Arabidopsis thaliana: one gene and its partners. The protein of the gene in region 1 interacts with the protein of each later gene in a pairwise test. Each region holds a gene or a part of one and is shown in the gene's direction. Other genes may lie near its edges. The genes, in order: AT4G01460, AGL86, AT4G20970 and HB21.

Region 1 (8,274 bases):
TATTACCAGTAAATTGCCAATACAAATATTCAAACTATCAGTTTTGTTTGCAACCCTACTTCCTAGATTTATAAGATGCGAGATTAATATTCAACTTGCTACAACCTCGTATTATATAATTTTTGACAGTAACTAATACACTCTGTGTTTTTTTATAATTATGATATTACTTTTTTTGAAATAAAATTGAGAAACAAAACTGTGAAGGGGACGGGGAATCAAGCATTTGACCTCATCGACAAATCGACATAAGGATTTGAGTTTTCACCTTTTGTTGTTCCAACTTCTTTTCGTTTTAGTTGTCCAAAACGGCCTAGTTTCATAATATGTTAGATAAAATACATGGTGTTATATGGTCAAATATTGTGGAAGACTAGCTACAGTAGAAACTCTATAAATTAATACTCGATAAATTAATAAACACGATAAATTAATAAATTTTACCGGTCCCAAGTCGGGCCAATGTAAAAAGTAACCAAAATCGATAAGATAATAAGATAATATTTTTTTTGAAATCCCTATATAAAATTATAGTCCCAATAATATTATAAATTAATAATCATAGATCTTAAGTATATATTTTAAGACTAATTAATTTTTATATGAAATTTTTGTTCAAAGTACAATTACAACTCTTTTTAAAATATAACTGGTATGATCTCTGTTGTACTCACATAACTATTTGCGTATTTGATCTGTCATAGTTGATTTTGTAAAATCTTTTATTTGAAAAAGCATTGCTAAGATTTGTGTAAATAAAAATTGGATTAAACTTCATGTTTACGTTTACGTTCACGTTAATGTCGTGGATATACAAACACAATATATTTTGAAAAATAAATTTAAAAAGTCAAAGAAAAATAAAAAACTAACATAATTATATATACAAACAACAAAGCATATAGAAAATTAATTAAAAACATTTTAAAAAGAATATAGTATTGTATTTTACATAAATATTTTTATAAATTAATATTTATTAACTTATACGATAAATTAATAAATATTAATTTATAGGATAAATTAATATCACTATAAATTAATAAAATTTCATGGTCCCAACATTATTAATTTATAGAGTTTCTACTGTATATGGTTGAGTGACTTATATGATAATCTTGCAATTTTTTTAATGTGGAGAGTAGATTTACAAAAATATTAGATTTTAAAATTTGTTTTGCAATTTTCTCTTTACTAATCTTAGGTCCAACCAAACCATTTCAAGTCATTTTCTTGTTATCTGTAATACATTATATATCTAAAAACTTCAAAATTAATTTGATTAGTTTGCTTAACTAACAGAAAATATTGAATGATACATTTATTACAGATGAAATAATGAATTTTTATTTGTGGCCAATTGCATAATGGATGTGAGATTGTATAGACATATTTAACTTGTCAACTCTACATGCCTTCTGGAAACAAGTCAAATCGAATAAAGTAAACTGAGAGACAATTCATGGAATTGATCTAAACACAAGTGGGTAAACCCATTACCATTTTCCTCGCTCGTCTAAATTCCTATATGTTCTCATTTACTAGTATCGTATCTTCTTTTTTTTTTCTTAAACAAACTAGTACCGTATCTTCGGTTATATGGATGGTACATAGAACTATAAATTGTAAAATCATATTCTACATACTTACTTTGACGATAAATAAGTGCTATTTCGGGTCTAATGTTACACGTAGGGAACTACCTAAGAAAATGTGGTTCGCGTGTCTAATGCAAACTGATTTCCATTCGAACCTATAATGGCTGAAGAAATAGCTATCCACATATGATATGTTGATAATGATATATATTATAGATATTCTTGTGTTTAGCTAAGTAATATATAAAAATTTACTCCACTTTTTTCTCAATTGGTATGTGACATGCTCTTATTGGGTGGATAATGTACTAGACAAAACTTGTAATTTTTTTTTTCTTTATCTATAATAATATAAAAACATTTTGTGTGTTATATTTTCATACATCTATTTTCCTTTCTTCATAATTCGTTTGGCCTATTTTTCAAATGTAGTCTATTCAATTTTATTAGGTTGCATGTGAGTTTTGGACTCACTTATGCATGGTACAAAATCCAAGTTCTTAAAAGACTTTGAGGTAGAATAAAAATCTGTAGTTTGGGAGAAGGAAACAAAAATAAAAAGGTAAATTTCTTTTGGGGGAGAGTACTGTTGTTTGCCCTACAGACCAAGGCACTGAAATCGAGTTGGTATTATTAGGATACTTAACGTTTGGCACCCATGGCCTTGGCCTTGGCCATGTGCATTGTTCGTCCTCTTCTTAAAGGGTACTATTGTCATTCTTAATTTTTATAGCACTAAGTCAACACACCATATTGGGAAATACTTAAAGACCCATAATGTACTTGTTCTAGCTCGATTAAAAGAGAAAAAACAAAGTAAATGAAAAGTTGAAGTAAAAGACATGAAAACCCTTTTTGGATTGGAGAAAACTAATTCTCTAAAGATAGAAAAGAAAAAGAGGAAGAAGCAAGAGAGGCTTGGTCTTCTTTTCTGATCCTGAAACTGTCTTAATAAGAGTGAGAAGTACTGTTCATGGAAGACGTGTCCCCACCAAACAAAACTGTCTTCACTGCCCTCTTCAATAATACTTTTACGGGACCCCTCCTAGTCCCAACGCACAATCTCATTGTGTCTATACAGAGTTATATTATATATATACACTTAATTTCTAATAGTTGTAGCAAAACATATGGTAAGAAAATGAAATAAATACGGTTAATATATTATTATTTTTTGGTCAAAACGGTTAATATATATGTAACACCAATGAAGCCAACATATCCAAACACAGAAGAAGATTTTTGGATGATGATTTAAACATGTATATATGTTAGTGTGAATCTTCAAAGTTTCTGTTTAAGTAGAATTATTTTTATAGATAAAGTATTTTATATGTTTTTTGGTCGAGCCAAATATCGAATTCCTTCATCAAAGTCTATCGAATTCCTTATATTTACCAAAGTAAAATTCGTTAAGAACAAAAATCAAAGAGTATTGTCCCGAAAGAAAATTATTTTGAAGGCCCAAAGAGGACAAGGTCATAAATATTTGATCTGGAGGACAGGACACCCACGTATATTTTTGTCCAAAATTTAGGTTAAAAAAAGAAGAAGAAAGGTTATCTGTTTCACGGATTAAATATTTAATTAATAATACATACATATATTACTGTATGTGTGCGTGTAAAATACTAAATATCGACGACTATATATATAACTAGATAATTTAGCTATAGTATAGTATTTTTATTTTTCACCCTTGGTTTTTTTATACATATATGCACCGAACCTCTTCTTCTTCTCTTCCTCGTCTTCTCTCCTTTTATATATGTGGAAAACTGCATTTATTAAGAACAGTTTAGAAAGTGTCAACCCCTAAAGGAATGTTTTTAGTTTAGAGGAAAGAGAGAGAAGAAGAAGCAGCAGCAGAAGTTGTTAATTTGAAGACTATTTGAGGAAAGACACCTATATCTAAATACTCAAAGTTACAAAAATATTACTTCAGAAAACAGTTCCATTAGAGAGACTCATAAAGCTTCTCATGTAAGCCTCTCTTGTAATTTATTCTCATATACAGAATACTGTTTTGTGCATTTACTCTTCTTCTTCCTCCTCCTTTCATATGATTAACATTCAATGCAAAATTCTTGTAAATTCATTTTACAATAGCTTATCCAAATTCTGCTACTTTTATTATTGTTTCCTCTCGCTGCGACATTCTTTATTTCTCATCATTTAATGTTCTCTCCTCGTACATCCTCTTTGTTCTGTCTTAAGAATTCACCTACCAAACCATTTATTTCTCATACCCACTTTAAGATTTAGTAGATTTTTGTTTTCTTGTCAAAATGGTATCCTAAAACTAATCTCTCTTGTTTTTTTCTTTGTTGAAGCTAATTATGAGTGGATTGATGAGTTTTGGTGAATTAGAAGACCAATTTGGTCAGATTTCAGACACTACTATGGAAGAGAAGATACCATTTCTGCAAATGCTTCAATGCATAGAACACCCTTTTACAACAACAGAACCAAATCAGTTTCTCCAATCACTTCTCCAGATCCAAACCCTAGAATCAAAGAGCTGTCTCACCCTTGAAACAAACATCAAAAGAGATCCGGGTCAAACAGATGACCCGGAAAAGGATCCAAGAACAGAAAACGGAGCAGTAACGGTCAAAGAAAAAAGAAAACGGAAACGTACAAGAGCTCCAAAGAACAAAGACGAAGTTGAAAACCAAAGGATGACTCACATTGCCGTCGAACGTAATCGAAGACGACAAATGAACGAACACTTAAACTCTCTCCGATCTCTCATGCCTCCTTCGTTTCTTCAACGGGTAACAAAATGTTTTAAGGGTTCATTAAACAAGAACGTAATTTTTTTTTCTTTTCAAGAACGTAATTTAGCTTTAACAAGAAAACGTTTTTGTTTCTCTAGGGTGACCAAGCTTCGATTGTAGGAGGGGCAATAGATTTCATCAAGGAACTAGAGCAACTCTTGCAATCTCTAGAAGCTGAGAAACGAAAGGATGGAACTGATGAAACTCCTAAAACGGCGTCGTGTTCTTCATCTTCGTCTCTTGCATGCACTAACTCTTCTATTTCTAGCGTGTCTACGACGTCGGAAAATGGATTTACGGCGAGATTCGGCGGTGGAGATACGACAGAAGTGGAGGCTACGGTGATACAGAACCATGTGAGCTTAAAAGTTCGGTGTAAGAGAGGAAAACGACAGATCTTAAAAGCTATTGTCTCGATTGAAGAACTAAAGCTTGCGATTCTACATCTCACTATCTCTTCTTCCTTTGACTTTGTCATCTACTCTTTCAATCTCAAGGTAATTTTCTTAATCATCTCTTAAACTATCAGTTTCAATTTCCACTAGTTTAAGCATTATTATAAATAGTCTTATGTAACTAGCAATTTTTGACTTTTTGAGGAAAATTAAGGAATCTTCATTTTGAAATGTTTGGTACTTAAGAAAATTAAAATGCATGAGAAACCATAATAGAAAATATCTACAATTATGTGTGTGTGTGTGTATTTTTTTCCTTCACTCTAAGCTTAGAAAATTTTAGTTTAATTTTTTAGTAAGTTGCTAATTTTTGTTTAGTTTTGGAGAGATGAGAAATGAATGGTGTTGTGCATGCAGATGGAAGATGGTTGTAAATTAGGATCAGCAGATGAGATAGCGACAGCCGTTCATCAGATCTTCGAGCAAATCAACGGTGAAGTCATGTGGTCAAATCTTAGTCGAACTTAGTTGACTTTTGACTCCTAGTAACGTGTGTAAACTTTAGGTTACAAAGAAAAGGGACGTGATATAAATAAGAAAAACCAAAGAGGTGAAATTTTGGGAGTTTTAATTATTATCTTATACTTTTTGGATTTTAGATTAGTAGCAAACTCGCAGTGTTCTACGATGACATTATTATTGGTCACATGAAGGTTTAGGTTATTATTGCCTGTAATTTTTGAATATAAACTAACCTATGAGTTCAGTTTGACCCCGAAAACGAAAAAAGTTAACCATGAGTAATATTTACTTCCATTTATAAATGTTTCCCACTTAGTAATAATGTTAAGAAATTGACTTTAGACGTCCGTATTAGAATGGTTACGGAAATGGAAACAAATACAATTAAAGATGAAACATCATTATTACTAAGAAGAAGTCGCCTTCACACTTCGCAACCTCTTTTTATATTTTGCATATACGTTTTATTAATACTCTCATATCGTCCATGCGTCTGACAAATCTACGCTTGATAAAAAAGGTACAGCTACAACATAAATTTAAAGGTATTCTTTTGCATCAACGTCTACTGACTAAAAATACTTGTTTATTGTATAATGACTCTAGTTTTACTTTTAACAACGAAGAGAAAGGTGGCAGAATTTTTTTAATATTCCAATGGTAAAAAAGCATCGTAAAAGGAAGCCTATGGTCAGAGTCTCATTGACACATCGGTCTCGCTTGTAATACGTAAAACTCAGCCTATCTCACTCACATTACTTTTTTCGAAATTTTAATTCATATATCGGTTTCCGCATATATTTAACTTTTGTATTCAAAGCTTATTAAAAAATCGGGAAAAATCTAAACATCATAAGCAAAACAAATCCGATCAATATGTTTAAATTCTGTAATACAAGAACAATATAAACAAAAACATATTATTCAGAAAGCAATGATACATTATTTGAATATTGTGTGTAAGAGTGAACGACAAGATCATACGTCAGAGATAATCGACTGGTAACAACTCTGATCTTTTCCAACTTTTGGTCAAAGTCAAACCATTTGGTCATTTTTACAGTAAATTATTGAGTAATATGTCATTTACTCATTTCTTTTGAGGAAAACTCTTTTTTTATCAGAAAACAAAAACAAATTACTCATTTTCGTTTTGGGCTCAAGACAAAAGTCCTTCTTTTAAAAATATTAGCCCAGTTAATCTATACAGGCCCATTAAAGCCCATACTAAAAGAGCCGAGCGTTCCACCGCGTGAGATTGACGTGCGTGTATTTACGCGTTAATGTTTCGCGTGGTATTTGTTTATTTGAATAAAGATTCCTTAGCTTTATTCTTAGTAGGTCCTCATGAGTCATATTCGTGAAATTGAGGTTTTTGAACGAACTCGGGGCTTTGATTCGAAGTCGAAAGTTTTGATTTTATATTGTGATTTCTAAGTCGAAGGATGTGTTACTTTGGTGTTTTTTTTATTTGATTTTTTAAAAAGAATATTTGATAGTTGTAAAGAGTTTTTGTATATGTTTAATTTTTAAATAGAGAAATGGTCAACGTAGCACAATTAACTTGTAATAGAGAATTGCTCAACGTAGCACAATTAGTGTAGATCTTTAAAATTAAATCATCGAGCGAATTTTAGAATTCTCCCAAATAGTTGTTATCTGCAAATGTCATGTTATTTACAATTCTTGATACATAAAATAGTTAGTTTTCCATGTGGTAAAAACAATAAAACATACGACCAATCGACCATTGACATAACTCTTCTAAATCCACGATGAGTTATATATATAAACTTATAATACTAATCACAATTATTGTTATTGAGGAATATACATCGTGAGTATCATCAAATCTCGTCATCGCACTTTGCTTGAACGTGCAAGAAACTTGGAAACGCGTTTAGAGCAAACACCGGGACACCGAAGTACCGTTTATTGAATTCCTTTTTTTGTGTGTGTTGTTCAATACTTAAATCGACTAAAAAATCATTAGCCTAAGATTCACATATCAGAACGTGCTTGGGCCAAAAATAAAATAAAGAACGTGCATGGACCAACCAACCATATATATATCTTCATAGTATTATTGATAATGGCGGGTCCCATTATGTTTGATATATTTTCAGTTTTCACCATGGAAGCATAATCTCAAGAATATGCCTCCAATAAAATTCGTTTGTACATGAATTCCTTAAGTATGGCAGAATACTACGTATACCCCACATAATAGTTTAATCTAATTTAAATTAGTGTAAATTTTCCACCAATCAATTTATTAATTACTTAAAACAACAAAAGTAGTGAAAAACAATTAAAAACACATATCTCCCTCAAAATACCCATAGTAGGCTACAACTGTAGATTTCTTGTTTCACAAGACACAAGAAAAAAAAACCTAACTTAGAAATCATTAGAAGGAAGTGGTTCATGTCCATTACTACCGATAAAGATAGTATCATAAACAATAGCTGCAATGGCTGCACCGATAAAAGGACCAACCCAATAGACCCAATGATTCGTCCAAATCCAGCTAACCACGGCCGGACCAAATGAAACCGCGGGGTTCATCGATGCACCGTCGAAAGCACCACCAACCAGAATGTTAGCTCCAACGATTAACCCAATCGCCAAAGGCGCAATGATTCCAATATCACCTTTCTTGGGATCCACGGCAGTAGCGTAAACCGTGTAAACTAACCCAAACGTCATCACAATCTCGAAAACGACTGCGTTCCAGGGCGTCACTCCATATGATAGCGAAAACGCAGCCGTTTCCATCCCGCCAGTGCTTACCTTGAGCAACAAGCAAGCTACGACTGCTCCGAGTAATTGAGCGATCCAATAAAGAATAGCTCTCAACAACGTTATGTTTCCACCAATAAAAGCCCCAAATGTAACCGCCGGGTTCACATGACCACCTGAAACGTTAGCTCCAACGGAAACCGCAACGAACAACGCAAACGCATGAGACAAAGACGC
Region 2 (7,219 bases), on another chromosome or scaffold:
ACCAACCGTTGGTCTTACTTCCACCGGTCACATGCCTTCCACCACCACCACCACCACCAACAACAACAACAACAACAATGTGTGATGTGTTTCAGTAGTGTGCATTTTGTGTTTTGTTTGTTTTAAAAGACCAGTATTTAATTATGCTTTTCCTTTTCAATTAGTTGTTGTAAGAGTTGAAGGTTTTACCTTTAAGTCAGTTCTATTTCAATGAAGTCATTTCTGTTTGGTCACAAATTATTTTTTACGAGCTTTTTGTTCTTAAAATGCATAACTAAATAGATCTGCCAAAATCAGATAGGATTTTGTTTCCAAAAAACATCAATACTTTTCAAGCCTTCATTATGGTTAAATACTTATATGATTAAATATTTTGAAGAGAGTTCAGGACGGAAGTTGTATATATAGGAGGAGAAGTACCATTGAGTATATATACGAGGAGAACCATTGTTGAAATTGGTCGCAGTGAATCACTCTTGAACCGAAAAGAAGCGCTTAGAAATCAGATCAAATCCAAACACTCTAATCTTCCTCACTCGTTTCTTAATGCCACAAAGATCCAATATGGCAATGTAAACATAAACAGAACTAATTACATCTTTCTTAGTTTATGTTCTGAAACATGTCATACTTTACAATACAATTATTTGTCGATATTAAATCCTTCTTCTTTGTTTTCAGGACATTGGTCATGCATGGGCTTCTTGAAGCATATTCCCGAACACTTGCGAATCTTGCTTTCTGGATTCTTTCAAGAATGGGAGAAATCTTGAAAGAGTTATAACTCCCTTGCACCACCGAGTAGCATCCTTAGCTCATGTGACCCTAAAGAGCACCCCAAAGGCCTTTGCTTTGGTCCCGTGTAAGGCCTCTCCGATGGGACAGAGACTGGTTTTCTATTTTTTGTTTGCAGTTGCTAAGGCAGGTAATTCAGTGAATACAACTCCAAGTAGAAGCAGTAGACTGTGGTGTTTAAGTAAAGTGCCTTCTGATACTTCTCCTTGATTTAGAGGGTCTTCCTAGTTCGATGCGTGCCACCTGAAGCTTCTCCTTTAAAAACCGTTTTAAAGACTGTATTAAGATTGAATATGGTTAAATTGATTTGGCTCTTCTGAAAATTTTAAATAAAAAGCTGAGATATTAAGAAAATAAGGTATATTTTAGGATATGCATATATTATGGGCCTAAGGTAATTTGAAATTAACACAAGCCTTAATGTATCTCTATCTGTACCTATCACCTACTAAGTATTCATTAAGATTTTTTTTTAGAAAAATGGCTTCCTAGCGTTCTATTTCAACTATAGGCTTCACTTCGTGTATCATCCCAACACTGACGAGGTTTTTTGGGTTGGATTCAAGTGTGTACTTCAACTAAGAACATATTTTTGGTGACCAGTTATGCTTACTACAACGTTCAGATAAGATCGACTATACCTTGAATTGTTTTAGTATGTGTAAATTAAATACATAGATTAAACGGATCGTGATTACCAAAAAAAGTTCTTATGTATATATATGGACCTTATTTAAGATATCTATAGTTAAACTTTTGAACATGACCTATAACTATAAGTAGCTTAAGTCGCCCCTAACTAAACATATAAATAAACATGAAAATTAGTGTTTTATGGCAGATGAAAGTTATTTATTATCTGAGCCAAAAATATACGGTGAGCTTGAAATAAAATTTAGCATTTAAAGAGAATGGAAATTAAACTACTACTGGATTGAATTATTTACCATTCTCTCATGTAATATCTTCTACTCTATAGTATTTTTATAACTATTTGAAAACATTTAATCAAAAATCAATAAATATGCTATTTATTTTAGAGAAATTTCTACATTTTGTAAATGTAATTGATAAGAAGAGAACCAGTCAAACAAAGTCTAATTAACGATGTGCATTCTTGTTTTTCTTATTTTTTGGTTATTGTTAGACCTCCATTTTTTTTGGATTCTCTCTCATTATAATCATACCACACAAAAAAAGTATGAGAGAAATAAGAGAAAGGTTCTTAAATAAGAACTTTTGGTATATTAACTTGAACTTTGGGTATATTACACTTGTCTTTTTTTAATTGGTTCATTTTTTGCTTTTAAACCAAAAATTAATATATAATTAAACTATATTTAAATATTAATACTTTAAAGTTTAGATATTTCTTTGGGTATGTAAAAACAACTGGAAGTTTTCTATACGTAGTCTAAAATCTTTAATTTCCCTATTTACAGCTTATAATTAGCTGGCAATGCAATGAAATATTCTAACCCAATAAAAGAAAAAGTATTCTCCAAAAGGTATAATATATGCATGATTTAACAAATTATCTCTAAACTAATTTATTACTGAGCCAAAAGAGGAAAGAAATCCATCTATTAATGTATAAAACAGTTATTTTATCCAAATTTCCTTTTAATTAGAATCAACTTAATGATTAAAAAAAATCAGGTGGACCTGCAGGCCATGACAAATGTTCTTTTAATATATTTATTAAAAAAGTTCATATAACCAAATCTGAGATTTAAAAAAATATATTTTTCTCTAATACTCTACTATTATATATTTTCATTTGTTATTATTGTAAGTATCAAATATTTTTACTAAATTAATTAATATAAATTTTAATGATATTTTATTATCTTATTATATTGGTTTACAAACTTCTTGGTATGTTCTCCTTTAATGTATATAGGTAGTTTAAAGATTTTCTTAGAAATAGAACACATATTTCGTGAGATTCATGTTACATTGTTTTCAAAAACTTTCGTGCTTTCTAAATATTTCGTAAGACTCACGTTATATTGTTTTCATTTTTTTTCTATAAATAAACAACTCTTTTGAGCTTGTATATATTCATGATTTTACATGTAAATTGAAGATGGAGTACTCTATTTAAAAAGAAGAAAAAAAAACACTTCAAACTATTACTAAATTTCATAGTTTATAAACAAAACTTTAAATTACTCTTAAAAGAAAAGTGAGAGTAATATAGGAAGATAAACTATTCTTAGTAAAAAGAAAAGAAAATCTATTCTTAGACATAGCTTTAATTAGTGGCCTCGTCAATTAATGAGACAGTAAACACAAAACAAATCTAATGAGTCCAGCAACGTGAAAAGCCACGTACTGTGTAAAAGCACAATTTTCATTTCTATATAAACAAGACAGTCTTGGGCCAAGAAAGTAAACAAAACACACACCAAAGAAAAGAAAAACAAAGATAATGAGGTCGAAAATTAAGTTATCACTCATAGCTAATAAGACCTCAAGGAGAACCACATTCAGGAAGAGGAAGGGAGGGATAACGAACAAACTCCATGAGCTAACAACTCTCTGCGGCGTCAAAGCATGTGCGGTAATCTCCAGTCCGTACGAGAATCCAGTGGTGTGGCCGTCAACCGAAGGTGTTCAAGAGGCGGTTTCCATGTTTATGGAGAGGCCGGCGACAGAACAATCCAAGCTGATGATGAGTCATGAGACCTACTTGCAGGACAAAATTACCAAAGAAACAAAGAAACTGGAGAGTCTACGTCGTGAAAACCGAGAATCTCAGCTTAGGCAATTTATGTTTGATTGTGTTGAAGGTAAGATGAGTGAGCATCAGTATGGTGCAAGGGACCTTCAAGATTTAAGTCTTTATATTGATCACTATATCAATCAGCTTAATTCAAGTGTCATGCTCCTTACAAACAATGGTGCGTCTTCTTCTTCCTTTCCTCCTCCGCTTCATACTTCAGTTGCGGGTGCGGGTGCGGGTGCGGGTGCTGCTCCTCTTGTTGTTGCGGGTGCGGGTGCGGCTCCTCTTGCTGTTGCGGGGGCGGGTGCGAGTCCTCTTGCTGTTGCGGGTGTGGGTGCGGCTCCTCTTGCTGTTGCGGGTGCCGGTCCTCCTATGGCTCAGAATCAGTATGAGCCGATTCAGCCCTATATCCCTACTGCTTTTAGTGATAATATTCAATACCAAGCTCCTGTGGATTTTAATCATCAGATCCAACATGGAATCTATGATAATCTCAGTTTGGATCCAAATCATCAGTATCCGTTTCAAGATGATCCATTCATGGAGATGTTGATGGAATATCCTTATGAACAAGTGGGTTATGCTGCAGAGCATGCACACATCCCTTTCATGAACGGAAACTACTACAACTACCACCAACCACCAACCGTTGGTCTTACTACCACCGGTCACATGCCTTCCAACAACGCCACCACCACCACCACCACCAACACCACCGTTGTGTGATGTGTTTCAGTAGTTTGCATTTGTGTTTTGTCCATTTCAAAAGACCAATCTCTAATAATGTCTTTTCTTTTCAGTTAATTGTTGTAAGAGTTGAAGGTTTTACCTTTAAGTCAGTTATATTTTTATGTATTGGGTAATGTATTTCTGCGCCGTAGAGCCGGATATTTCAATTATATTTGAAGAAGTTTGGTCATAAATTTGTTTTTACTTTGTTTTTTGTTCTTAAAATACATAACTAAATAGATCTGCTAAAATCAAATATATTTTGTTTCATAGAAAATCTTACTTTGGATATATTATTCGCAAAAACATCAATACTCTGTATATCTCTTTCTCAATCCATAATTTATTTACTTCCCACACCTACCTATATAGCGAGCAAATGAACACACTAAAGAAGTAAAAACATGAACATAAATAATGAACACACGTCTCAGCAAACCCAAAAGATTAACAATACAAACTGTAGCTTGTTTAGTGTTGAAAATTTGAAAAATCAACATGATAAAATAATGAAACTAAAATAAAAGGCAAGTTTTCAGTTATCTCTTACATTAGGATCCTACGAATCAAGTTAAATTAATTCTAGGATCCTTAAAAAAGCCAACACTCTGGACGTGTGGTTATGTGCGATCAGAACAAGAGATTCACGGGAGCCGGAGGTTCTTTCGAATCCATAAGAGCGCCTAAACTCTTCACTGTCTCCAAATCCTAGGAGCTTTAACTCTTCTTATGTTTTTTGTTTCAACATTGTAGTAGAAAATGTAGAAGGGTCGAAAATTGAGTGACAACCTCTTTGGGGCAATAATGATCTCACCAGCCTTGTTGGTGTCTGGAAATGACATTTTAGCACACTCAACATCATCCCAAAAAGAGGAGGGAAACACACATGTTTGCTTTGACCATTCATGTTTCTCGACGTCTTCTAGTATCCATAAATCGAAACTATGGAAACCGATCATAATGGTCGCTCACAATGGAAGCAAGCTTCCCTTTGTATTCAATGAATACTGCTTCACTTCCCCATTGCACAAAACCCTTAAGTGCATTGATAAAACTCAGTTTCTCAGTTCTAAAATGAAAACAAACCAAAACTGTCTCTTTAGTTTTGGTTAAGAAAGCAGCTTAGTAGAGAAAACCGTTGATGAATACACTCGCTTGATGACCCGCCCTATAAGGTAAAGGGGTATCTTTAATGTGTATCCATACTTCACCATCTCCCAATGTTCATAACTTGTTCTCCAGATGACCACTAGATATCATACCTTTTTCTCTTCAAGGATAATGCTTTGTGTTGATCATCAATAGGATCGTATCCCACGATCAAAGCAGTGGTAGCAGGTAATTTAACCGCGATTGCTTCGAGGACATAGAGAAGAAGTAATCAATGAACCCTCGGCTTCGGATGATGGATTGCCACATCTTTGACACGAATCAAAACTTCATAAGAGACTTGGCAGGCAATCTAGCTAGTACAACCATATTTAGATCAAGAGGGAGCGAATCTAAGTCTAACCTACTTGTGTTTGTGTCTTTCTCATCTTCCTCCCCGTTATCGTTATTACAATCTCGCTCGTTACATTTCATGGCGCCTCCTAAACAAACCCTAGATTTGATTCGGCAAATGACTTTAGTTTTTGTGGCTCTTCATTACAGACTTCGCAGGCAATCTAGATACTGTAGCGATATCGGACCTAACTTACTTCGGCTGCTACAAAATCTGTACGTCCTTGCGTTTCATGGAGATTCCTGACGAAGCCCTAGGCCTAGCTATTCCTTTCTCAAATTTCTTTTTTTTTTCTTTTAATATATTAATCAGCCCATGTGAATATCAAATGGGCCTAATGAGGCCCATAACTCAAGTTAGAACTGTCAAATGGTCATCTAACCATGGGCTAAACCCAATCCATAATGTTCGTAACTAAAACGGGTCATATGGTCTAAAGACCAATTTTGTCCACGGGTATAATGGGCTAACCCATACGGTCTATGGTTGGCCCATCAATTTTCTCAACACATCAGTTTTCTTCTCTTCTCTCTCACACGTCGACTTTGTTCTCTCTCGGCGACGAAGCTCTCTCTCTCTCTCTCTCTCGCTTCGACCTCTCTTTCGACTCCTACTCCGGTTAGTTCTATTAGAATATGAATCCGTTGATTAGAATAAGTTCTCTCTGAAATATGCGTTCATATGTTAGTCTCATCGATTTTGTTCTCTAAGTCCTGATGCAATTTCATCGCTTTGTTCTTTGCTATTCCTTAATTGTGATTCTGCATATGCTTTCTTTGATTTCAGCTTGTGGGTTTGTCCAAATTTCACTTATTTGCTATTCTTTGTTATTCTCTCTCTCCCTTCCTTTGATGCCAACCATGTGTTTGATGAAATGCCTCACAGAATATGTAGAGTTTGGTTTTGGTAGAGCTTGTAATTAATTGTGTAGAGCTTGGTGTTTATGTATGGAGCTAAGTGTGTGTTCGCTAATGTTTATGAACATTTCTTATAGCTAATTTCCACAATTAAGTAATCGTTTCTCACCACAATCCGTCACTTGTTTGACCAAACGTTGGAAATCAATTAAGTGATGACTAATTCAATAATACTCTTATTGTTGTGGGAATGAAAAAGACTAACACGAAATTGTTGCTGCCACTACTACTGAAGTCCAATAAGTTAGATCACTTTCAAGATTCTGAGAATCATACATCATGTGGATAACTAAAAACATTCCTTTAAACTTGTTTGAATTTGTCTGTGAACATACAAGATAGGGAAAATAAGTTATTCATGCAAGATACATTTATTTAACTACAGTTTTGAGGTTTTTCCATTTATGATACAACAAAAGTTCTAAGCTAATTTTGTTTTTGCTTGAATCTGTTTTGTTTGTAGGCTCCAGCTGAGCTTGAGAAGAGAAAGCACAAGCTCAAACGTCTTGTTCAGTCTCCCAATTCCTTTTTCATGGTAATGTAAAT
Region 3 (7,456 bases), about 11 Mb from region 1:
TCTCTATTGAGACAAGTCTGTTGGCCCTTGAGACCCCAATTCATTGGTGTTTCTTAAACCGGATATGTATAACTGTCTAAAACAAAATTTAAAATAGCCTAGTAAACCGATGGTTATGACTGTTACGGTTTCCGGTTAGTCTTAACCGACTCTTTCAATTACAAATCCAATCTTCTCGTCGTCGTCGTCGTCTCTATTTCTCTACCACCGTTGATGTTAGGGTTTCGGCTGTATTCTCACCGCTGCTGACGGAGACGGCCCGAATCCGCAATTTAATCTTCGAGGTTCGATTTTAGTGAAGAACAAGATTCAATAGTGATATGCAGATCTCATGTCTCCCAATTTCGATTCCTTCGATCACTCCTCGAACCTCAATTCCACTCTTACCATCACTCTCCTCAAATCCTCGCCGCATTTTCAACCTCACTTCACTTCAGAGCCCAAATCACTGTTTCTTCAAAAGATTACATAAATCTCAGACTGGTTTCAGCAATCCAGTTTTGGCTGCCATGAGAAGAGAAGAAGATGTTGAAGTCGATGATTCGTTTTATATGAGAAAGTGTGTGGAGCTAGCAAAAAGAGCAATTGGGTGTACAAGTCCTAATCCTATGGTAGGTTGTGTCATTGTCAAAGATGGTGACATTGTTGGCCAAGGGTTTCATCCCAAAGCTGGTCAGCCTCATGCTGAGGTAACAAAAATTCAATCTTTCTTTGTTGGGTTACTGAAAATGAGCAAACTTTAAGTCTTGCTTGTGGAATTGTTGTTGTTGGCATTGGTATGGTAGGTGTTTGCTCTTAGAGATGCTGGAGAGTTAGCTGAGAATGCTACTGCTTATGTTAGTTTGGAACCATGTAATCATTACGGAAGAACACCGCCGTGTACAGAAGCATTGATTAAGGCTAAGGTGAGAAGAGTTGTTATTGGGATGGTTGATCCGAATCCAATTGTTTTTTCTTCGGGTATTAGTCGGTTGAAAGATGCTGGAATCGATGTTACTGTGAGTGTTGAAGAAGAGTTATGCAAGAAGATGAATGAGGGATTCATCCATCGAATGTTAACAGGGAAGCCTTTTCTCGCCCTCAGGTAAAGTTCATTGCTTCTCTTGAGTGGAGACAAATCCGAGTCAATAGATTGTTTTTAAGTTTTGAAAATCTTTGCAGGTATTCTATGTCTGTCAATGGTTGTTTGCTAGACAAGATTGGGCAAGGGGCTTCGGATAGTGGTGGATACTACTCGAAGCTATTGCAGGAATATGATGCGATAATACTTTCTTCCTCGTTATCGGATGAACTCTCGAGCATTTCTTCACAAGAAGCTATTAATGTTTCGATCCAACCTATTCAGATCATAGTAGCTAGCAATGCACAACAGTCTCATATCCTTGCTTCTTCCCACACTGTGGAAGAATCGGGTCCAAAAGTTGTAGTTTTCACCGCAAAGGAATCGGTTGCAGAATCCGGAATCAGTAGTAGCGGGGTCGAAACCGTAGTATTGGAAAAGATAAACTTGGATTCCATTTTGGATTATTGTTACAACCGTGGACTATGCAGTGTCTTGTTAGATTTGAGGGGGAACGTCAAAGACCTTGAAGTTCTTCTGAGAGATGGATTTGAGCAGAAACTATTGCAGAAAGTAATTATTGAGGTCTTGCCGGAATGGAGCACAAAAGATGAGAGACAGATCGCGTCGATGAAGTGGTTAGAATCAAAGCATGTGAAAGATTTGCAGTCTAAGCAATTAGGTGGAAGCGTTTTGCTAGAGGGCTATTTTTGATGTTTTCATGTATGAATGAATACAAGTCATGATATTTACCTTTTTTAAAGCATAGTATTATTAAGGTTTTACAGATCCTATTATTAATAGATTGATAACAGATTTTTGAGAAAATGTTGTATTTTCAAAAGAAAATATTTTCACATGTTGAGAATCTGATTCGACCTTCTATGGCCTACACATGATGGGTATCCTAAGATGAGATGTTTTTTCTTAATTGGAGTTCATAAACCAAAACCCATAAAAAAAATTAAGGATGTGTAATAGAATGTGAAGTACATTCAATGAGAACTGATTGTTGATGTCGATTGCGTTACAAATTTGACAATTCTTTTTGGATTTTGGTGGAAATGTGAACTAACTGACAACAAACATCAACCATGTTGGATTTGTTTTTGTCAAAACCGATATATCTAGAGATATTCGAAAGAAAGAACGAAATAAACACTATACAATAGTCAATTTTAAATCACTTTATGATTTAACAATCCTAAGTTCCTAACTTCAAATTTAAGATTTACAATAGCATGAATTTTAGTCTTTCTTATTGTTTCATAGCATTATTGTATTAAAAAATTACTCTACAGTTACACCATCTCTCTTTATAATGGTTGTTTCAATTGAGTTAATCATTTACTATTAATCTGAAAATTTGTAGTATGAATGTTATTGTTGGTACACAAATTGGTGATGGAACAAAAGATTAAGAGGATATCTTTTATGTCGACAATGGTCGAGTGGTTCAACAAAATCCACGCAATCGCCTGAGCGAAAAAGTTGACCATACTCAGCCCCACCACTCTCCACTTCATAACCTTTTTCTTTTATCCTTCTTCCTTTTGCATTTATACAAGTATTTTCCAATGACGGAATGCAGAAAGAAAAAAATTTGTTAAGCAAATGTCATAAAATATAAAAATATCTATAGCAAGTGACTGTAACTACGATTAACTCAACCGATTGGAGAATTGAGTAACTTATATCGAACTCAAGTTCGAACATACGCTATATATGAGAGTCAAAATTATTGATCAAAATATGCAATGTAATGGTCCAAAATTCAAAATATTACCAAAAAGAAATTCTATAAGTTAATGTTGGAATTATGATAATAAAAAAATACTAATTGATAGATATGAAACAATTTAAGACGATCCATTTGAGACCCGGGAAATAGATTAGTTTATCAAGTATTAATTTATAAAGATTTTACTTTGGACTATTTGTTCAAAAAACTACGTGATGATGAGTTTTCTATGCAAAATCAATTACCGATATGTGGATGATTCTTGTCTTTTGTAGTAATGTTGGTTATCTTTCACTCTTAATGAGAGGTTTAATATCATGTGAGAGTTAACGAGCTTCTTATTTGAGTCAATTGTAGATAAATAGCTTAACATATGCCCTTATAAACTAGCGTTGATTCTCAATCCAATTTGAAACTATTAACAGAACCATTAAAAACTATATATGAACACATAAAATATATAATTGACCATAACGACGAGTCAAGATATATATTTAAAGAACTTACTTTTTTCCACTTTGTTTTGCTTTTTTTTTTTTTAGTCTTTGGTACATATATATTACAAACCCTTTTCCAGTAAATAGTTAGCACAAACTAATTATCAGATGTCACTTAAACCAACCTCCTTCTTTATATAAGCTTGGTTAACATTGAGTTTGTTATCATGGTCTATGTGAAACAATTCAGGAATAAAAAAAGAAATGGAGCCGAGCCATTCAAACACAGGTCAATCAAGATCTGTAGATCGCAAAACGGTTGAGAAAAATAGAAGGATGCAAATGAAGTCTCTCTACTCAGAACTCATCTCTCTTCTTCCTCATCATTCTTCTACGGTTTCTTCCTCTTGGCCCTCTTATATGCTTATATAATCTAAGATTCCATGTATGGGTGATGATCTTAATATTCTAAACTCTTTTATTATTTCATGTTAGGAGCCTTTAACACTACCTGATCAGCTAGATGAAGCTGCAAACTACATCAAGAAGCTACAAGTGAACGTGGAGAAAAAGAGAGAAAGGAAAAGGAACCTCGTTGCGACTACAACTTTGGAGAAACTGAATTCCGTCGGATCTTCATCGGTTTCGTCGAGCGTCGATGTCTCCGTGCCAAGAAAGCTGCCAAAAATCGAGATTCAAGAAACTGGTTCCATTTTTCACATCTTTCTTGTGACAAGCTTGGAACACAAGTTTATGTTTTGTGAGATCATTCGTGTTCTCACCGAGGAATTAGGAGCTGAGATCACTCATGCTGGATACTCCATTGTTGATGATGCTGTCTTCCACACCCTTCACTGCAAGGTATAATTCGGAAAGTAAAACATTTTTTGCAATGGAATTTAAGAATCAAACTTTGCTACTACTACTATGTTAAAACTAGGTCTAATCCAGCTTGTATACACATTGGGAATGAGTTCAAAGTTAGGGAATGATATTTATACTTGTTGTTTTTATATTTAATAAAACTTGCACTCAAAAACGCTAAGAAGCTGCATGTTCCCATCTGATTGTTAAGTTTCTACTAGCTGATTCCTATTAATATCCATATGTTAGTAAACTAAATTTAATTTATATTTTATATAGGTGGAAGAACACGATTATGGAGCTAGGAGTCAAATTCCTGAAAGACTGGAGAAGATTGTGAACAGTGTTCACTAATATTGATTCCTTGTTCCTTTATTAAAAAAAAAAGTTCTATGTTTTTGTTCCTTTTCTTGAATTATTTTTGGTGTTAGCTAGATTCCTTTTCTTGAATTGTATCATGTGCTGTGAGAGTGATGTTTCATTTGTAAGCATAATATATACTTTTCTCTACTTAAAGCTGTGAAATATATTTTGTTTTTTGGTATCAACAAAGCTGTGAAATATATGAAACTTAGGATGATGATTTTCAAGAACGAAACCAAAAAAAAAAGTTTCTTAGAATTAATACATGAACGAGCGAAATAACTTCACCTTTTTTCAATGTGTTATACTTGCCCAAGCATTTGTAATCTAGTGATAGGAGAAACTTTGGTGATAGGTGAAACTCTCAGATCCGAGTTTGAATATCCCGTGGTATTAGTTAGAAAACATTTAAATTCGGGACAGATAGTGTTGTGGTCCTTCGGGAAAAGTTTACTTCGGAGCACTTTGGTGCGTTTCTATCGAAGCTGACCAGATCAGCAAATAGAGTTTATCAAAAAAAAATGTGTTATACTATTTCAAATTGATGAATTTGAATTCTAAATTTTTATTTTATTTTATTTTTTTCTCAAAGTCAGAAATGAAAAACATGATTTAAGACTTCAAGTGTTATATATGGGTTTTGAAGAATACTAAAGCCCATGAGCCCAAACATTAACAAAAATGTTTTTTTCTTGTACCTTCTCTCTTCAACGTAGACTAAAGAATTAGGGTTTCCGCTTTCCACACACACAGCTGCAACACTATCTTCTCAGAAATGGTAACCGAAGCTTTCGAATTCGTCGCCGTTCCTTTCAATTCCGATGGCTGGGGACCTCCAGACGCTTCCGACGTTTCCTCCTCCGCCTCTCCCACCAGCGTCGCCGCCGCTAATCTTCTCCCGAACGTTCCTTTCGCTTCCTTCTCCCGTTCCGATAAGCTCGGCCGTGTAGCTGATTGGACTCGCAATCTCTCTAATCCATCCGCTCGTCCTAACACCGGATCCAAATCAGATCCGTCTGCAGTTTTCGATTTCTCCGCTTTCGCAATCGACGAAGGCTTCGGTCTCGCTTCCTCCGGTGGTAATCCCGACGAAGACGCAGCTTTCCGTCTCGTCGACGGTAAACCTCCGCCGCGTCCTAAATTCGGACCTAAATGGCGTTTCAATCCTCACCACAATCGGAATCAGCTTCCTCAACGGCGAGATGAAGAAGTTGAAGCTAAGAAGCGTGATGCTGAGAAGGAACGAGCTCGTCGTGATCGTCTCTACAATAACAACCGTAACAACATCCATCACCAACGCCGTGAAGCTGCCGCTTTCAAATCATCCGTTGATATTCAGCCGGAGTGGAACATGCTTGAGCAGATCCCTTTCTCAACATTCTCGAAGCTCTCGTACACAGTTCAAGAACCAGAAGATCTTCTTCTCTGTGGTGGCCTTGAGTACTACAACCGCCTTTTCGATCGCATAACGCCGAAAAACGAACGCAGACTCGAGCGTTTCAAGAACAGGAACTTCTTCAAAGTCACTACTAGTGATGATCCTGTGATTAGGCGTTTAGCTAAGGAAGACAAAGCTACTGTTTTCGCTACTGATGCTATATTAGCTGCTCTTATGTGTGCTCCTAGATCTGTTTACTCTTGGGATATTGTTATTCAACGTGTTGGTAACAAACTGTTCTTTGACAAGAGAGATGGATCACAGCTTGATTTGTTGTCTGTGCATGAGACATCTCAAGAGCCATTGCCTGAGTCTAAAGATGATATCAATTCTGCTCATTCTCTAGGTGTGGAAGCTGCTTACATCAATCAGAACTTTTCGCAGCAGGTTTTGGTTAGAGATGGAAAGAAGGAAACTTTTGATGAAGCCAATCCATTTGCTAATGAAGGTGAAGAGATTGCTTCTGTTGCTTATAGGTATAGAAGGTGGAAGCTTGATGATAATATGCATCTTGTTGCGAGGTGTGAGTTACAGAGTGTTGCTGATCTCAACAACCAAAGGTCGTTTCTTACTTTGAATGCTCTTAACGAGTTTGATCCTAAGTACTCTGGTGTTGATTGGAGACAGAAGCTTGAAACTCAGAGAGGTGCGGTTTTAGCTACAGAATTGAAGAACAATGGAAATAAGTTGGCTAAATGGACTGCACAAGCTTTATTGGCTAATGCTGATATGATGAAGATTGGTTTTGTCTCTAGGGTTCATCCTCGTGATCATTTCAACCATGTTATATTATCTGTTTTGGGGTATAAGCCGAAGGATTTCGCTGGACAGATTAATCTCAACACTTCTAACATGTGGGGGATTGTGAAATCCATAGTTGATCTGTGTATGAAACTAAGCGAAGGGAAGTATGTTCTTGTGAAGGATCCATCGAAGCCTCAAGTGAGGATTTATGAGGTTCCACCTGATGCTTTCGAGAATGATTACGTTGAGGAACCGTTGCCTGAAGATGAACAGGTTCAGCCAACTGAGGAAAACACAGAGGGAGCAGAAGCAAGTGTAGCTGCAACTAAAGAAACCGAGGAGAAGAAAGCTGATGATGCTCAAGCTTGATGGTTATAAAGTCAGGTAGTTCATACAAACAACTCTCAAATTCAAAAGGCGGTTACCATAATATGCTTGTTGGATTTGATTGAACACTTGTTTAGGATCGTGAATTTATACTTAGAACCCAAGAAAATGCAGAAAGTTGGTTCTTACTTCTTAGCCATAGAATCTTGTTCTTATTCATCTGAATTTCATTCTTATAGTTTAGAAACTGGTGACTTAGATTAATTGATGATCTTTATTATAAGTATAAACGTCGTATGAAGCATCGTCATTCACAATTTGGATACTATATTCTTCAGGTCCAAAGTCTACACCTTTCGTTTCTGGGTTCTTTTGAGAGTTGAAGCTTCAATCAAACAACAACAATGGAGGTTCCTTTTTTAATTATCTTGTCCTTTTTCAAATTTTTGTGGTACTGCTGTAATTTTAAGTCAGAAATGAGA
Region 4 (8,169 bases), on another chromosome or scaffold:
CGCATATGTTTTCTGTTTAAAATAGTATTCAATGTTTCAATAAAAAAAATATAATACATGACAAAAGCTAATTTTGTTGTGTAATTGTGTATTTACGCTATGTTATAATAATTTTCGTTTTCACATTTAACTCTGGTTTCACAAGATATATCATTTTATATTGTCAATGCGAAACACAACTTATTTCAACCCAAACAAATATGCGCTTTTATATACCAATTGGTGTATTATACATAAACTATTCGAGTGTAACTAAAACCTATCTTGACTCAAAAGACTTGAGTCAACATATTAGTATGTGTTAATTCAGAAACCACGTATAGTACTATAATAAAGTGACATTATTTTACTTAGCCAATATTGAATTCTTAAAACGATGTCGATGTTATGAAGTCGATATCGTTTCAGTATAACAACGACGTTTTACTGAAATACGACACGACCGAGGTAGCATTAGCAACTACCAACATGTTTACTCACACCGTTTGGAATAATGTAGGTTTCGGCTACATTCTAATATTTTATGTAGTTTAGTTTTAGGAAAAATTGTTTATGTTTGGAATAATATGAGTCGTTTTTCACTGTCAGTGCAACCAAAGTTTATGTTTTGTTTTGTAAAAAAAGAAGAAAAAAAAAAGTTTATATTTTGTTTGATATTTTACTTCTATAATAATTAGAGAGATAAAATAAAGTACTTTATTAATAAGAGAAATGGTATAAATTTTAATAGTTTTCGTAGTATGTATTAGTTTTTTTAAAAAAGATATATAAAATAAAACGTAAAGACTATATATAAATTTATTTTTCTTGATTAAAGTGTTTAATATTTTAGTTTTTACTTTGACCATGATGGAAAACATCATTGTCTACAAATATCGTAAGCCTCAAAATCCAAACCAATATTAATTCAAAATATTTTATTTAAAAAAAAAAATACCATATTCAGTTTATAAGAAAAATGGTTATGATTAGCTAGAACTTCAAAAGAATCAAACATCCATCCCAAACCAATCGAAATCCCAAAGAGCAAAACCATTTTTCATCCTACACTCATCAACAATGATACGTACGTAATTATGCGATATATAATTAGAACTTTTCATAAGGATAATATACTATCTATTTATTTATTTCGATTGAAATATATGAACTTCTTACATGCCGAAACAGAAATTAAATTTGATCCATGTAAAAAACGGATAATATTATAGGGAGAGTTGTACCATAAAATCTTGTTCGTGAAAACTGTTTATCTCAATCACGTAAGCGGCATATAATTAAATATCGTAGATTATATTTTCAAAAAATTATATAACTAACGACACAGGAAAAAATATATATTAAATAATTTACCATTTTCATTAATTATGTTTTTTCTTAATAATTGAATAATTTGAAAAATATTCTTGTGGTCCCTTTTATTTTATTTGTTTCTTATACCTCGAATACAAGTCGCTTTTTTTTTTACATCACCTCGAATAAAAGTCACTTGACGTGTGAATAAATACATAGTATGGACGACGGGAAATTAAATTAAATTATATGGAGTATGCATTTATTTGCCATTATTCTGATGATATCGTAAACCGTAAGGTACAAAGAAAATAAAAGAGTTGTTTTTGAAAAAGCTGCTACAATGGAAGGAATTTTACCAGAGTCCAGAAGAATAGACAACACATAGAAACAAGAAGAAAACAAAAGAAAAAGATAAAAGTATCTCAATTTTTGTTTTTTTTGTATTATAAAATAAAAGCCCACAAGGTCACAAGGAAATTATAAACTAAGAAAGTGAACTGCTCTTATTTCTTAATTGTGTTTTGTGTAATTAAGACTTGAATGGTCATTAGCAATTGCCGCAATTTGGTAGTTAGTGCTTCTTTTACGAATCAATAAAAATGAGATTAGTCCCCACTCACCTAGAGGAACAACCGCCACCGTAGTTGAGACAACAACTTGTCGTGTTTGTTAGAACTTTTCTAAAACGAATTAAGTTTGTCGATTAGAACAATTATACCTAAAAGGTCAAAACATGAAAATGAAACATATTTTTTGACCGTCAAAAAGAAAAATATATCTTAAAACATTAGTCATCAAGAAGCAGAAATAATAATCTTAAGCAAGAAAGTAATAGTTTTCAGGTAAAATCTTAATATGTATTGGTGATTTGATGTTTTCATTTGTTTGATTTTAAAGAAATATAAAAATAGGGATTAGTGATAATTAAGTCGAAAATGTAAAGCAATAAAAAAAATCTATTTACCAAGACTTACTATATATACTTTTAGGCCAAAATTTACAATTCTGCCACCCAAGAGCAATTGTTCATATATCATCTATAACATAGAGTCTAATTTTACAACACTGATAGCCCGCAATATAAACCAAAAACTTTATATTATCAAAACTTAATAATAATCGAGATTTTGGTCTTAACAAAACTCGTAACAAACTTTGGTTTATGAATATATTTCAGTAACTATATTATCAGTTGATTATGATATTTTTATTTTATTGTTTATCTTTTGATTCTTTCTCACAATTGTATGTTCCAGAAAACGGATGATCATGGTATATAAGTGCACATATTTGGTAGGACCAATAATTAATAGTAACTTCAAGTAAATCATATAAATTCACAAGCATGACATGACAACCTCTTGAAGCTAATATCATACGTGACATAATTAATGGCGAAGGCCGAAGGGTAAAGGAACAATATGTGTTTTTAATTAACTAGCTTAACAAGTTAAGGCTTTATAGTAATGTTTAGAACATTCTTTCGTTTTGAATTAGTATCAATCTCACACTTTTAAATTTTAAGATGGTAAAAAATATTATTATTATACCTTACTACCAAATTTTTAGTTATTTAATGTTTTGGAACAAAGATGAGATATTGTTATTTATTATGACTTTCTCTTTGTTATCTACTTCAATACTCTTCCCACTAATTATCTGACACGTTTCTACACTGTTGTAAATTTGATGTCTGATAGTGCAAGACAAGCAATCTCCCATAATCCTAATTCTTGGCTCTCTTCTTTTTTTTCTTTCCCTTTACTGATAATTTGTTTTGGGTGAATATGAAAATCTTAGAGCATCCACATTACTCATACCTTTGTAGATATCTCAAAAATAAATTAAAATTAAATTAAAGACAGCTTCTATTTTAGAGATCTAAAATGTCTTTCTAAAGACACTATTACACAATTAAAAACATTAAATTATCTTTTTCTATTATTTTTAATTTAAAGACACCCTCAAAGTATCACCAATGAAGAATGAGGATGGTCTTATATTCAATATAACCTTCAATTCATCAATGACTGCGATATATCAATATTATAAAATGACATTTCATGAGTAAAAATGTATATAAAAATGAATAACTACTTATCTTATAAAGTCTAATTTAGTGATTGTTGTTGTTTCTTCAAATTTTAAATTAAATGATGTAGCTTTTTTTGTTTCAAATAATTTAGCTACACTTTTTCTTTTCCATATTTTGATCACAATTGTATTGTTTTTGTCTATATATTATCACCCAAATTTTAATTTGGTAGAGACATTATTGAATAAAATATCCTATATATGAATTAATAAAATGAAAACTAGGTGTAATTAATTAATGATCTTTTTTCTCTTTGTCTGTAGAAAAGTGAGGAAATAATTAGCTATGGCTATGGCTCTCATGTGTCTTTCTCATGCTTTATTGGCTTTCACTACTAATACTCTAAGCCCTTAGTTTAAGAAGTGCCTTCACATCCAAAACCCACCTGCAATTCTCTCTTTCTCTCTCTCTCTCTCTCTCTCTTTATCTTCTTTCTTCAAAGTCTATCACTTTATAAAACCCTAATTAAATCTCTAAACTCCTTAGCCTCTCTCTATTCTCAGAACCTTGTGGTTATTCTCAAGAAAGGTTTCATTTTGAGATAAAGTTTGCTGCTCTTTCTGGTTGTGGGTATGTGCTCTTAACTTCTTCAGTCAATTTTTTCATTTGGTTTAAATAGAACAATTTTGTTTTGGTGATACAATAAAGATTGTCTTCTTGATTATCATCAACCTCTCACTTGGAATAAGACCTTTCTTTCTCAAGTGGGTTTGTCAGCTTTTGCTTAAGCAGGCTTGCAATAAGTTTTTCTTTTCTTTTGTACTTTTTCGTTTTGTTCTCTATCTTTATGGACCTTCTAAAATTAGGGTTTTTCTTTTTGTTTGGAGGAAATAATTAAAAAAATGGGGTTAATGAGTAGTGAAGAAAGCTCTTGCCTTTTTGTAGCTTAATCATTTGAATTTTACTCATTAATTATCTTTACTCTTGTTTTTTTCTTCCTAACTAGTTTCTTTGTCCCCAAACCAAGAAACACTTTGCAAAACCCAAAAAAAGTTTTAAATATAAAATCGTGTTTATTTCCTTGGCAGATAGATCAAAAGAATGGAGATTGCAAGTCAAGAAGATCCTATTCCAATAAACACTAGTTATGGTAATAGTGGAGGTGGGCATGGGAACATGAACCATCATCATCATGCCAATTCTGCACCATCATCTCTCAACATTACTACTTCAAACCCACTACTAGTCTCCTCAAATAGTAATGGTCTTGGTAAAAATCATGATCATTCTCATCATCATCATGTGGGTTACAACATCATGGTTACCAACATCAAGAAAGAGAAGCCTGTGGTGATAAAGTACAAGGAATGCCTAAAGAACCATGCAGCTACCATGGGAGGCAATGCCATTGATGGTTGTGGAGAGTTTATGCCAAGTGGTGAAGAAGGTTCCATTGAAGCTCTCACTTGCTCAGTTTGCAACTGCCATAGAAACTTTCATAGAAGAGAAACCGAAGGTGAAGAGAAAACATTCTTTTCCCCTTACCTCAACCACCACCAACCACCTCCGCAGCAGAGAAAACTCATGTTCCACCACAAGATGATCAAATCACCATTACCACAACAAATGATAATGCCTATTGGCGTTACAACCGCTGGATCCAACTCAGAGTCAGAGGATCTTATGGAGGAAGAAGGCGGAGGAAGCTTGACATTCCGGCAGCCACCACCACCACCATCACCGTATAGTTACGGACATAATCAGAAGAAAAGGTTTAGGACAAAGTTTACACAAGAGCAAAAGGAGAAGATGATTAGTTTTGCGGAAAGAGTTGGTTGGAAGATTCAGAGACAAGAGGAATCTGTTGTTCAACAGCTTTGTCAAGAGATTGGAATTAGGAGAAGAGTTCTTAAAGTTTGGATGCACAACAACAAACAAAATCTCTCCAAGAAGAGCAACAACGTTAGTAACAATGTCGACCTTTCTGCTGGTAATAACGACATTACTGAAAATCTTGCTTCTACTAATCCTTAGTTAAGTTCAGATTGTTGTTATATAACTTCACTCATGTGATTACTTAATTAATTAAGTACTTTCTTATCGTATGGTTAATGTTTTCTCCTTTCTCGGCTAATCATTGTTTAGGTAGCTTTATAAACATGTGTTTTATTAGGGTACCTATAATCTTGGTTTTGGAGCGTGTAAGATAAGTTTTTGATGTTTTCTTATAATGTATGTTTAAGAAAATTCTTGGCGATTTAACCAATGCATTGGGATGTGCACTGTTATTATTTACTTCGAATCATTAGACTTTGTAGTTCGTGATATCATTTGTCACGTTTACTATTTATGTGAGTAGCAGAATTTTAGATTCTCATAGGTAACTCTTTTTGTTTTTGTTTTTTGAATTCTGATATTTATTAAAGGAAGTGTATCATACAAAGTCCATAACAAAATTAATACTAGTTACCTAAATCTTACGCCGGTCTTGTTTTGATTTGTCTTGTTTCTTTTTTGTCGTTGTTTTGATTTAACAAAATATTTTTTTTTGATTTGTCTTGTTTTTTAAACATCCGGTCTTGCTTTGATTCTATTATTTTGTTTTCTAGTTTGAAAAAATATTTTCATTCTCATGATCGAAAAATAAATTGCACGGAAAACAAAGAGAGCAATAAATTACGATTTCTATCAATGGAGAGAGTTGGAGATTGTCCTGGCGAGTGTAAGTCAAGTCCTAATATGTATGACGTATTAGGTTGAGTAAATGTTTGGTTGGTGTACTAGTAAACTCATTTATGGACCTTTTCTTTTATTTGAACAATTATGTGCATTTACTTTATGTGACTTCTTGGCATATTGCAAGTCGTGTAATGTGATATGGGATAAAATATGTCATGCATCAAAATGGAGTTACGATTTTAAGATGTTGTTGTTCCTTGTGATATCACATGTTTCATTTATTGTAATATTAAATGTAACATTTTCACTTGTTGTTTTATAGTAGTATAATTTTTTATGCCTATAGTTTATCACTCGATTTCAGTAAAACATCAATAATGAATTGCGTATTGCGTATTTCGTGGAAGATAAAAATTCAATTAACTGACATAGTTTATTGATTGCCATTACTATTATTTTGTTATTGAAACGTCATTTTATTCAAATATATTTTTATCTCCTTCAAGATTGACATAGCATTATAGCACTATAACAATATAAAATATATATATATATATATATATATATATAAATTATCCAACTCTTTACATATGATCGATACATCATCACTTTAACATTTATCATGTGTCTATTAAATAATTAATGTAAACTTTTCAATTTTTAATTTATAAGTTAATGATAAATTTATTATTTAATTTTATATATGATTTTATTTTACATATTTACTGTACTATTACTAAATTTATTTAAATATTACATGATTTTTCAATAAATTTTTCAATAAATTTATTTAAATATTTTATTTTAATAGTTTTTTCATACTCGAAGATTTTTTTGTAATCCAAACTCAAAGTATGAGTGTATAATAGTCGTGAATTAGTTAATGATTTGAGTAGTTTATTTTTTAAATTGATATTTATATAATAAATCATCGAGGGTACATAATACGTACGGAGCTCCGATCCATCATCAAATTCTTATGTTTCTAATTACGAACACTACCCTCTGTTAAATTGGTTTAAGATGAACGTTGTTTATGAATGATGTGTATGATGCATTATTGAGAATGTTGTTAGAAAAAAAATATTTTAATACTGAAATAATTTTTTATTGCATGAGTGAATGATTAGATAAATAAAAATTATATTTAAATTAAACAATACAAAAGAATCCGAAAAAACTGCGACGTATCGAGAGTGATCACCTAATATATATTATAGTTAATAGAAAAACTTCCAGAAAATATAATAGAAATACAGTTGAACCAAACCGAACCGGGTTAGGTCCGTACGATGAAATCGGCCAGCAAAATCAAACAAAATTATGGAAATATATAACAATAATAATATAGAAAAATGTAAACTAGGAAAAAATGAAAATAGCAGAAATAATGGAAAGGAATAGCTAACGGGAAATTTTGACTCTTTTCATCACACTATATATATTGACACACACTCCTTTTTGTTATTGCTTCAAAAAGAAAAAAAAAGAATAATTGTAAGCTATGGGCTTCACAAGTTTGTACTCTCTCTATGGAAAATCCAAGGTTCTGAAATCAATTAGTTTTTCCGCTCTCAACAGTAAAACTCTCGCAATTGACGCTTCAATGTGGTTATACAGAGGTGCTTTAAATAATGCCCGGAAATTCTTGGAGGAACCAACTACACCCAACTCTGAACATATAATGTTTGTCATCAAAAAAGTCAAACAATTCATCGACCGTAATGTGAATCCTATTCTTGTTTTCGATGGACATCGTTTACCTATTAAGTCACCGCGGAACCCAATAAAAACTCTAGAATACGCAAAGGATCTTGACGCATCAGCACAACTTATGGCTCCCGATGACCCTAAGAGAAAGGACAAAGAGAAGAATGCTACTAAGATCTTTCAAAGTCATATACACATCACGCCTTATGTGATACATGTTTTCATTGAGGTAACATTTACGGTAAATAATTATTTTTAAGAATTTTCACTTCTTTCTAATTTTTTATTAACCTTTCTTTTTTCTCCCATTGAAGGTTTAAAAAAAAAAAGTATCCGAATATTGAGTTTATCGTTGCTGCTCACAGCTTGTATATTTGGCTAATAATAAAGATAAAAGCGTTTATGCGGTTCTCACTATTAACACTGACCTCATACCATTTAGATGTTGA

Evidence for each region.
Region 2: the proteins of AT4G01460 (region 1) and AGL86 interact in binary tests that used the Arabidopsis thaliana proteins (3 or more experiments, as listed by UniProt).
Region 3: the proteins of AT4G01460 (region 1) and AT4G20970 interact in binary tests that used the Arabidopsis thaliana proteins (3 or more experiments, as listed by UniProt).
Region 4: the proteins of AT4G01460 (region 1) and HB21 interact in binary tests that used the Arabidopsis thaliana proteins (3 or more experiments, as listed by UniProt).

What each region holds. Positions count from the first base shown.
Region 1 is NC_003075.7:617,397-625,670, forward strand, and holds AT4G01460 (basic helix-loop-helix (bHLH) DNA-binding superfamily protein), read left to right. Parts: upstream 1-3,294; 5' UTR 3,295-3,581; exon of another isoform or gene 3,582-3,931; 5' UTR 3,932-3,937; coding exon 3,938-4,375; intron 4,376-4,476; coding exon 4,477-4,875; intron 4,876-5,190; coding exon 5,191-5,301; 3' UTR 5,302-5,603; downstream 5,604-8,274. Other genes in the region: TIP1;3 (tonoplast intrinsic protein 1;3), read right to left, coding at 7,696-8,274.
Region 2 is NC_003070.9:11,315,558-11,322,776, reverse strand, and holds AGL86 (AGAMOUS-like 86), read left to right. Parts: upstream 1-3,229; coding exon 3,230-4,249; downstream 4,250-7,219. Other genes in the region: AGL92 (AGAMOUS-like 92), read left to right, coding at 1-85; AT1G31620 (uncharacterized protein), read right to left, coding at 4,883-4,960, 5,225-5,321, 5,515-5,608, 5,770-5,836. UniProt on the Arabidopsis thaliana protein: Probable transcription factor.
Region 3 is NC_003075.7:11,211,757-11,219,212, forward strand, and holds AT4G20970 (basic helix-loop-helix (bHLH) DNA-binding superfamily protein), read left to right. Parts: upstream 1-3,355; 5' UTR 3,356-3,502; coding exon 3,503-3,634; intron 3,635-3,733; coding exon 3,734-4,099; intron 4,100-4,381; coding exon 4,382-4,456; 3' UTR 4,457-4,676; downstream 4,677-7,456. Other genes in the region: PyrD (Cytidine/deoxycytidylate deaminase family protein), read left to right, coding at 321-689, 786-1,084, 1,162-1,774; AT4G20980 (Eukaryotic translation initiation factor 3 subunit 7 (eIF-3)), read left to right, coding at 5,241-7,016.
Region 4 is NC_003071.7:679,870-688,038, forward strand, and holds HB21 (homeobox protein 21), read left to right. Parts: upstream 1-3,765; 5' UTR 3,766-3,961; intron 3,962-4,419; 5' UTR 4,420-4,432; coding exon 4,433-5,365; 3' UTR 5,366-5,627; downstream 5,628-8,169. Other genes in the region: AT2G02550 (PIN domain-like family protein), read left to right, coding at 7,515-7,949. UniProt on the Arabidopsis thaliana protein: Putative transcription factor.